Linked DNA regions of Arabidopsis thaliana. The protein of the gene in region 1 interacts with the protein of each later gene in a pairwise test. Each region holds a gene or a part of one and is shown in the gene's direction. Other genes may lie near its edges.

What was found.
Region 2: the proteins of HB51 (region 1) and AT5G41030 interact in a two-hybrid assay, tested with the Arabidopsis thaliana proteins (one large-scale study listed by BioGRID).
Region 3: the proteins of HB51 (region 1) and DA1 interact in a two-hybrid assay, tested with the Arabidopsis thaliana proteins (one large-scale study listed by BioGRID).

What each region holds. Positions count from the first base shown.
Region 1 is NC_003076.8:1,002,985-1,006,744, forward strand, and holds HB51 (homeobox 51), read left to right. Parts: upstream 1-1,797; 5' UTR 1,798-2,000; coding exon 2,001-2,118; intron 2,119-2,670; coding exon 2,671-3,026; coding exon of another isoform or gene 3,027-3,134; exon of another isoform or gene 3,135-3,155; coding exon 3,156-3,389; 3' UTR 3,390-3,647; downstream 3,648-3,760. UniProt on the Arabidopsis thaliana protein: Putative transcription factor.
Region 2 is NC_003076.8:16,427,076-16,430,333, forward strand, and holds AT5G41030 (TCP family transcription factor), read left to right. Parts: upstream 1-1,630; coding exon 1,631-2,362; 3' UTR 2,363-2,604; downstream 2,605-3,258. Other genes in the region: AT5G41020 (myb family transcription factor), read right to left, coding at 1-574; AT5G41025 (uncharacterized protein), read left to right, coding at 115-360.
Region 3 is NC_003070.9:6,660,701-6,664,460, forward strand, and holds the start of DA1 (DA1), read left to right. Parts: upstream 1-1,716; 5' UTR 1,717-2,324; intron 2,325-2,586; 5' UTR 2,587-2,626; coding exon 2,627-2,812; intron 2,813-2,921; coding exon 2,922-3,015; intron 3,016-3,122; coding exon 3,123-3,351; intron 3,352-3,450; coding exon 3,451-3,571; intron 3,572-3,669; coding exon 3,670-3,753; intron 3,754-3,760. UniProt on the Arabidopsis thaliana protein: Ubiquitin receptor that limits final seed and organ size by restricting the period of cell proliferation. May act maternally to control seed mass. Acts synergistically with DA2 to regulate seed size.

The sequences.
Region 1 (3,760 bases):
TATTGGCGTAACACGTAAACATTTAAAAGTTAAAAACACGTTATTTTTGGTCCATATCGAAGACTTTTTACGTAGGGTCTTAGCTAAAATAGTGAAATTTGCATATTATTTTTTTAAGAAAATAGAGTATGAAATGTTGTTATCAAACGGATCCTTTACAATGAATGCAATCATCGAAAAAAAACCATAAAAATATTCTTAAAAAAATTATACACTATGAAAACTGTGATGTCTCATCTCTTTCAAGGGTTTAGGCTTAAAAGCTTCCCTTTTCTCTTATACACTGTCGTTAGTTTTAAATCTCATTACTTATCATCAATCTGTTCAAACCCTATCTACTTTTAACATAGAAAAAGATTCCTTTCCTTCCCTCTCTACCCTTCTCTCTCCATCTCTTACACTATTTACACATCAACAATTTGTTAAGTAGCAATTGAATATGAGAGAGAGAGATATAGGGAGAGAGATTGTGTGTAGAACTGCAAGTTAATAAAGAATGTGGGGGTAAAGAGTACACAGTAGATGAAGACAATGAGACTTAGTTTTCAAACTTCTTCTTTGCTTTGGCTTTTATTGGTCATATCAGACTCTTTATTTATAGATGATCTACTTAGCTCTCTGTGTTGATTCTTAGCTTTCAAAGGTAGCTTTTGGCCTCACCCTATATACTCTATACAGGTTACTGCACATATACATTGGTATGGACTTGCCACTAGTGCCAAACCTTTTGCACATTAATTTTCACATATATATAAGTAGATTTAGATGGTGTATATATAAGACAAAACAATAACTGAAAATCTTAGGACCAAGAATGAAGGCATAACCAAAGAAGGGGGGAACCACATTGTCAGTTTTTATGGAGTTTTTGGGGGACCATTAGTTTCGTTTCACTCTTTCTCTTTCACTTATTTAAGCTTAACTTTGACAAATACGTACCCCCACCTATATTACTACACGAAATTACAATATATTTATATATAAAATCTCATCAATTTCTTTTCAACTACATTTATGTTTCCATGTTTATAAAATTCAGTCAATTAAGACGGTGGTTTAAATGTTAAAGGCCACAAGTAGATTTATGTGAATGTTAAAAAGTCCCAAGTTTAGAAATTCCGTCAAATATAATTAATCCATGCAGATTTTGATTTACCATTTATTGGTTTACACTAGATTTTCAAAAGGAATATTTGGTGCATTCACACAAGGCTCAAGATTGTTTGTTTTTTCTTCAAAAAATATGATATTATCAAAACCTCTAATTTTGTAGCAAAATCAATTTTATTTAAATCTAAAACATGTATTGTCTTGGTTGGTTCACATCATCTTGCAAACTCTGTAACACTATAAATTGTTACAATTTGTATGTTTATCGAAAAAGCGCAACGATAATATTGACATAAACAAGTAGATTAGGTGTCATGATAGTATATATATTATAAAAAAACTAATACGAAAGAAAAAACAGTTTCCCGAAAATAAATTAAAAATTCCAAGTTTGACCCTTGGACACAACAAAATATATCAACCTATATTAATGTTAGAGAGATGATGGATGATGATTGATGATGTGCAAATGAGACAAAATTATATCACACTTTCCTTTTCAATCTTTAAATTCCAAAACAAAAGGTACTGTTGGGTTGCTCCCTTATTAGGTGAAAAAAACCTCACACAACACAGACAATTTCACTCTGTCTCTTTCACTACACCTCTATATCTCCCTCTAGATACATATCCCTATTTATATATGTATTGTTTCGAACACTGCGTGCTCTCACACTTTGTTACACCTCCAAAAGACAAAGTACATAGAAGAAGAAACTTCTTGTCACGCCTCTCTTACCCCTTCCCTTGTGGTCCAATAAAACCCTAATTTTCTTTTCTTTCTTTTATCCATTGTATTAGATCCTATATCTTTCTTCCTTATAGACCATCTCTCATGTCTTCTTATATATATTAAGATATTCACAAGAACTACAAAAGAAAGAAAGGAGATGGAGTGGTCAACAACGAGCAACGTAGAAAACGTGAGAGTAGCTTTCATGCCACCGCCATGGCCGGAGTCTAGTTCCTTTAACTCGCTCCACAGCTTCAACTTTGATCCTTACGCAGGTATATTCACACACCATCGTACCAAGTCTGCATATGTTACATGCTTTCGTTTTTTTTACTTTTAGATGTGTTTAATTCCATATTTGACGAATTCATGAACTTTAAAACCTTATTTATCCCACTTGCAAATGTTCTCAAGAAGTTTTTTTTTTTCTGTGAATGATGTAAAGAATTTCAAATATGACGTCCCTAAACTTCATTCCAAATGTCAACTAAAACGTTACTTTTCTGATGAGAAGCTAAGATTTTCTTATCTTCAGTCTACAATATCTATAAATAAAGTTTCTTACTTTTTTCTTGGGATCCTACAAAAACAATTTCTTGGGATCCAAATGCAAAAAGGTAAAACGTCACTTTTGAAAAGTTGAGATTCGTTTATGGTATAGTTCACTCTAAGAAAAATGGTTGCGGACATAATTTTATTCTTCTTATACTTTTGGAAGTTTTTTTTTTTTTTTTTTTTTTTTCGTATAATGATTATATTGTTGCGCTTCTATGTTTAAATATTTCCTTTTATCCTTTCGGGGCGTTTGCTAAAATGTTTAACAGCAGGAAATTCATATACGCCTGGCGATACACAAACCGGACCGGTTATCTCTGTACCGGAATCAGAAAAGATCATGAATGCGTACCGATTTCCGAACAACAACAATGAGATGATAAAAAAGAAGAGACTAACGAGTGGACAATTAGCTTCACTTGAGCGAAGTTTTCAAGAAGAGATCAAATTAGATTCAGACAGGAAGGTGAAGCTGTCGAGAGAGCTCGGTCTGCAGCCACGTCAGATAGCAGTTTGGTTCCAAAACCGCCGTGCACGGTGGAAGGCGAAGCAGCTTGAGCAGTTGTACGACTCGCTTAGACAAGAGTACGACGTCGTTTCTAGGGAGAAACAAATGTTACACGATGAGGTTTGTGTATTATATTGCACAAAATTAAAATCATGGGATCTAATTACATATTATCGTTTTCTTAATTTATCCCTTAAAGTCTTGATTCTATCAGATTGCCCCCCTTAAAAAATTGGATTGGTGGTGCAGGTGAAGAAGCTGAGAGCTTTACTAAGAGACCAGGGTTTGATCAAGAAGCAAATCTCTGCCGGGACCATCAAAGTTTCCGGTGAGGAAGACACGGTGGAGATTTCATCGGTGGTGGTAGCTCATCCAAGAACGGAGAATATGAACGCAAATCAAATCACCGGAGGGAATCAAGTTTACGGTCAATACAACAATCCGATGCTGGTTGCTTCCTCTGGCTGGCCGTCATACCCCTGATAGATGTTGCTGATCTCAGAGAGAGGGAAAGAGAATGAGAGAACGAGAGAAAGAGAGAGAGAGAGATTGTGTCAAATAGAGCTTTAGACTAGGACTTTAGTAGTGTTATAGACTAAGACAAGCTTTCTCTCATTGTACGATCTTAAAACATAAATGGCACGTTCTTGGATGCGAGATTGAGTCTGAAAATTGTTGAGTTGGTTTTGTTGAACAACTATACTATGAACACTCAGAATTGGCGAATGTCCGAAACAAAACTAGCTATAAACCAAAATAATGACGAGAGTAAACGAGATTGTACAAATCTTGACACTGATGCTCAGCATTTTCCGCTTCCCTTCACCGAACTTGAGACCTCTTGACGCAAAAAA
Region 2 (3,258 bases), about 15 Mb from region 1:
TCTTCTTGTTGTTCTTCCTCTTCACCTCCTTGTCTATGTTTTCTTCAGCTCCCAAATCAGTATCATCCCGCTTTCTTTTTCCCTTTTTCTTATCAGATACTTTGGAGCTTTCAGTATTTTCTATCACATCACCACCAGATTCTTTCTTGCTCTTCTTCTTCTTCCTCTTCACACCATCATGAGCTTCAGAATCAACCTTTGTCTCCTTACTTTTCTCCTTGGATTTCTTCTCCACACCATCATCCTCAGCTTCGGAATCAGCCTTTGTCTCCTTACTTCTCTTTTTCGATTTCTTCTTCACAGCATCAACAGCTTCAGAATCAATCCTTATTGGCTTCTTCGACTTCTTCTTCTTCTTAACTATAAAAACCTCATCACCTAGTTTCTCACTTTCACGCCCAGTTATCTCCATATCTTCTCCAGTAAAACCATCCTTATTCTCTCGCTTATTCTTCTTCCTCTTCTTTTCCTTATCCTTCATAGAACTGTGCTCGGAAATGAATTCTTCACCGGTTTCTTCAGAATCAACCTTAGCGTCACTCTTTTTCTTCTTATTCTTCTTCTCCTCAGCCATCTCATATACCGGCGGACACGGTTACGAAACCCTAATCACAAAAACCGCCGCGACTTTCGCTCAAATCTAAATCCGAATTTCGATTGAGTGATTTTAAGACACAGCGATGCTGAGATTGATTGTGAAGGAGCTTTTGGATACGGCGGCTTCCTTCATGAATTTGAGATGATTAGGGTATTTAATTACTTTTGTTAAAAAAAATTCCTTTGAACTTGGGTCTTCAATGACCCACTACCCATATTTGGGGCTTGAGTACTACTAGGCCCAACGTATTGCTCTTGACGTTATCAAGTTTTAACAAGAGTTTGATCTAATTTCTATCACTTATGTTACAACTTACAAAGTTGGTGGTTATATTGTGAAATTTCTAAATGATTTGGAAGAAAAAGAAATCAAATAATTACTACTAGAATAAATCAGTATATAAGAGACCTTGGGAAAAGTATTTAAAAATGTAGAATCTTCTTGGATTAACTTCAATGTTTTGTGTGGTGGAGTTTGGATCTTACATGATCATTTGGGACAAAGCTAGTTTTCATCAAAGGGATGCAATTGAAGAACATACTAAACATATATAATCGAAAACTGATATAAAAAAACATAAACACAAAGGTTTGTTTTGAGTTTTGACCTTATTATCAAGTGATGAAAGAATGTAAAACTTAGTTTTTAATGATGTTGATAACCTCTTTTGATTTAAATAAATTCTTTTTAATGTGTGATTTATGCTCAAAACTAAATTTTTCTAATGTTTTCATATTATTTAATTTTGCCCTTGTTAACTCTCATGGATGTTGCCATGTTGATTTGATTGAGCTTTGGATTGGAATTTTTTTTTTTATTTTTTTTTTTTTTTTTTTTTCTTTGGATTGGAATTCATTCGGTAAGTAAGAATATTTCGTGATTATAGAACTTCTAATTATGTAAAAAAAATAAAATAATGCGTGAAAATAATAAAAAGTTGTTACCCTTTTTTTTTACTTAGGTCAAGAGGTCACAACACACGCCCCACCTTGAATCTGAGAGAGAGAGAGAAGTACGTCCCCACACCTTGACATGGTCATGGAGCCCAAGAAGAACCAAAATCTACCAAGTTTCTTAAACCCATCACGACAGAATCAGGACAACGACAAGAAGAGGAAACAAACAGAGGTTAAAGGTTTCGACATTGTGGTCGGCGAAAAGAGGAAGAAGAAGGAGAATGAAGAGGAAGACCAAGAAATTCAGATTCTTTATGAGAAGGAGAAGAAGAAACCAAACAAAGATCGTCACCTTAAAGTTGAAGGAAGAGGTCGTAGAGTTAGGTTACCTCCACTCTGTGCAGCAAGGATTTATCAATTGACTAAAGAATTAGGTCACAAATCAGATGGTGAGACTCTTGAATGGTTGCTTCAACATGCTGAGCCATCGATACTCTCTGCTACTGTAAATGGTATCAAACCCACTGAGTCTGTTGTTTCTCAACCTCCTCTCACGGCTGATTTGATGATTTGTCATAGCGTTGAAGAAGCTTCAAGGACTCAAATGGAGGCAAATGGGTTGTGGAGAAATGAAACAGGACAGACCATTGGAGGGTTTGATCTGAATTACGGAATTGGGTTTGATTTCAATGGTGTTCCAGAGATTGGTTTTGGAGATAATCAAACGCCTGGACTTGAATTAAGGCTGTCTCAAGTTGGGGTTTTGAATCCACAGGTTTTTCAACAAATGGGTAAAGAACAGTTCAGGGTTCTTCATCATCATTCACATGAAGATCAGCAGCAGAGTGCAGAGGAAAATGGTTCATAAAGCTCAAACCTTTAAATGGCTTTTAATTAGATATATTTAGCGAGAATGTGATTGCTAGTGAAATCTCAAACTTGATAGCTTATTCATAGCTTATTTTACTTCGATCAGCAAGAGAACAATGGTTCCTAAAGCTCAAACCTTTTTTGGCGTTTGCTTTAGATTGTGCATACATAAAGTGAGAAGATGAAATATGGTTTTGCTGAAATCTCAATGTGCTCATTCATAGTTTATTTTGCTCGACCTTTCTTTAATCAATAGCTTTGATGTACTGATTACTTTATAAAGTTAAGAAGTAAGTTCTGCTCTTTAAACTGTACTGAATGGAGGCTTCTCTGCATAATTAAGCAAACACTCTGATGATTGAGTTTCGTTGTACAAAGGAAAGTTTTTGCCTTAGTTAGAAATTCATCTTGTTTCTTTGCCCAGAAGCTGGCTTGCTGATAGAATTTGGACTACGCTACGTTTTCTTGGGTGAAAAACAATCCGCGTCCTTCCACGAGAACAGTGAAACTGTACGATGTTCTTATTGTATTGTGTCAACAGCCCATAATCAATGAAATGGGCCTCAATGACAGTATAAGCCGAAAAATATTCGAATGCGATCTAGAACTAATCTGAAACCAAACTTCTCAAATCATTAACATTTGATTAGGGCCTAAAAGTCCATCCGTATTTTAAAAAAAAGTTGATAACAAATGCAAAAATACAAATATACATTACTATTAAAACTCAATCTTTCTGATTATATGTGGATGGAGAAGCTGTTTTGCAGTGTGGATTTGAATTTTGAAGTTCTTGTTCAAAAAAGAAAAGAAACTTGGTCAAGCTTCAAAAGAAAGAAAGAAATAAAGACAAGTATACAAATACGTTGACTTCAATTAATATGAAGATAGAAG
Region 3 (3,760 bases), on another chromosome or scaffold:
ATGGTTCAAATAATAATGGGCCTATAGAAAAAATCGAGGCCCATTAACTTTCTCTTGGAGTATGTAAAAAATAAAATGAGTGTTGTGTGAACTTGTGAGATAAGGTAATTTGCAACTTCATTGAACGTTAAAAATAAGCAGAAGACATGAAAATTAATATAAGCTAACTAGTTGAATGGTTTGGTAGAGCTTTCGTAAAAAAAAGAACGAGGCTCAAATGATTTCAGTATTACAAACCAAAATGAGGTATGAAGTAATATACAAGTTGTATCATACATAAAGAACAACTTGTTCATGACAAACCCAAACTCAGCTATCTCAAGAATGTAATAGTAGTAATAGCTAAATCGTCGGATCCAATAGACGGCTAGTGGTTAAGTAATGTATGCGGGTTTATATAAAGGTCGTGGTTACTGGTTAGAAACATAATGAAGTAAAAATTTGTTACATATATGAGCTTATAAAGCCTATAAACGAGATACGATTTTTTTACATTCAAAATAATAACGGGCCTGTGAAAGCCCATAAAAGCTATCACTTTCCGTGGTCACCGTAACTTCCGCGAGTGTATAAAGAAGAAATTCACATACTTAATTACCAAATTATTCGTTTAATAATATTGTAAAGTGATGATGAACGATATCACATTGTGACATTGACACTCATACATGTAGTTTATAATTTATGAATTCATGTAATGTATATCGTACGTGTATGCTAAATTATAATATGTCAATAAGGTAAACATGATTGAACTTTTACTTTTTGCATAAATCAACAAATTTCCTTTCCATATCTTTTTTCACCTCTATACTTTACTTTCTAATTTAAAGTTATGATATAAAATTAATAAATTGTGTTTGCTTGTAATATTTTAACAAAACCACGCCTCACCAACTTTTTCCTAATCTTTTCTTCAACTTTTTTTCCTTTGTTGTCACCTTTTCGATATGGAATAAGTAATAACATCATTAATTCATTATATGTACTTCTCTTTTTCAATTTTTTTTCTTCTCATTTCTTAGCTTTCTGCTGAATTATTTGGCAATTGGTAAAATTACAAATCACGCTGAAAAGCCAAAAGTTAAATAATATTATTTTCATATCAATAAAATGTGAGTGAGTTATGGGAGCCTAGATTTTGGTTCAAATCAAATTCTAATTATCGTATTGGTTAAAAAATCTATCAACTAAAATTCGATAACTTGACAATTAATTGAAACAACAACGGTTTAAACAGTTAATTAGTATTTATACATTTTTTCTTGTATTTATGCGTTTTTGTTTGATGTTTAGAAAAACACACATATTAAAAAAATATATATATTAAATATTGATTATAAATTTATTATTTTTTGTGTTTTACAATTTTCTATTATTCTAAATCAATGATAATTAACTATTTTTTTAGAAAATTACAATTCACTAATATTATCCAATAAATATTGCATGAAAAATTTAAAAGATTAATCTTTTAGAAATAAATCATTTAGTAATAAAGAAAATATATATTTATAAATAATTTTACAATTTAGTGGAAAATTATAAAAAAAATATATTTAATGTTTTCTAGCAAAAATATATAAAATCTTATTAGAATTAGAACCCGACAATCCGGATAAATGCGTTACGACTTGTAGAAGATTTGGTTTAAGGCTTGAAGCAATAATTAAATATTAAATATCTAGATATTTGCATAAACGTTGCAAAATGGAAGAAATTGCCAAAACAAAATAATTATTTGACTTTTAAATTGCGTAATAGTATAATTATAATTCTCTTTCTATCTCTAAATCACAGCGTGGGGAACGTTTTTTCCTGGAAGAAGAAGAAGAAGAGCTCAACAAGCTCAACGACCAAAAAACTTCGGACACGAAGACTTTTTAATTCATTTCTCCTCTTTTGTTTTTTTCGTTCCAAAATATTCGATACTCTCGATCTCTTCTTCGTGATCCTCATTAAATAAAAATACGATTTTTATTCTTTTTTTGTGAGTGCACCAAATTTTTTGACTTTGGATTAGCGTAGAATTCAAGCACATTCTGGGTTTATTCGTGTATGAGTAGACATTGATTTTGTCAAAGTTGCATTCTTTTATATAAAAAAAGTTTAATTTCCTTTTTTCTTTTCTTTTCTCTTTTTTTTTTTTTTCCCCCATGTTATAGATTCTTCCCCAAATTTTGAAGAAAGGAGAGAACTAAAGAGTCCTTTTTGAGATTCTTTTGCTGCTTCCCTTGCTTGATTAGATCATTTTTGTGATTCTGGATTTTGTGGGGGTTTCGTGAAGCTTATTGGGATCTTATCTGATTCAGGATTTTCTCAAGGTAAAGGGACGATCTTTAGCTTCTTTGCAGCTGCAATTACTTGATAATTCCATGTCTGGATTCTAATTTCATGGTTTTTTGAAAAAAAAAACAAAAAACAAATCCGTTTGGAACTCGTTTGCTTAATGGTGACAGGTTTTAGGGTTGTTTAGTTATTGTTGTTAGATTCAAAGTGCTATTGTTCTGTGGCTTTTGATGTTTGGAAGTGAAACAAGTTTGTTTTGGGTTTTTGCTAATCAGAGATGATTCGACGATTTTGCAGGCTGCATTGCCGTATGAGCAGATAGTTTTATTTAGGCATTATGGGTTGGTTTAACAAGATCTTTAAAGGCTCTAACCAAAGGCTCCGGGTTGGGAATAATAAGCACAATCACAATGTTTATTACGATAATTATCCGACTGCTTCACATGATGATGAGCCTAGTGCGGCGGATACAGATGCTGATAATGATGAACCTCATCATACTCAGGAACCATCTACATCTGAGGTGAGTTTGGGGATCATGAAGTAGTGAAAAGAACCACATATATAGTTGACGGTTTATCATAGCTCTGGTCTGTACTGTTATTTCAACTTTTGTGGTTTTTCTTTACTAGGATAATACATCGAATGACCAGGAAAATGAAGACATAGACCGTGCAATTGCATTGTCGCTTTTAGAAGAGAATCAAGAACAGACAAGTATAAGCGGTGAGTTCATTTTCAGGATTGTTTTAGCCAAAACAGATATATGAAGACATGGTTTTGTTATCGGATTCGGTTTGCTACAATTCCTTTAAAAAAAGTAATGGACACAGGGAAATACTCGATGCCGGTGGATGAAGATGAGCAACTTGCTAGAGCCCTACAAGAAAGTATGGTAGTTGGGAATTCACCCCGTCACAAAAGTGGAAGTACATATGATAATGGGAATGCATATGGAGCTGGAGATTTATATGGGAATGGACATATGTATGGAGGAGGAAATGTATATGCAAATGGAGATATTTATTATCCAAGACCTATTACTTTTCAAATGGATTTCAGGTATTTAGATAGCCAATCATATTTAGCTGGCTTAATTTGGTCGATGTGTTAGTTTAGTGTCCAGCAGCCAAATAACTTGTCAACAACTTGTCTGCATAGGATTTGTGCTGGCTGTAATATGGAGATTGGCCATGGAAGATTTCTGAATTGCCTTAATTCACTATGGCATCCAGAATGTTTTCGATGTTATGGCTGCAGTCAGCCGATTTCTGAGTACGAGGTGAAACCAAGCTCTCTTCCATATCCTCTTCATTTGCTTTCTGGTTCTACTTAACCTTTAGATTTTCTTTTGTAATGTGTTTCCCTTTTTTCCTATAGTTTTCAACATCAGGGAACTACCCTTTTCACAAGGCTTGTTACAGGGAGAGATATCATCCTAAATGTGATGTCTGCAGCCACTTTGTACGTA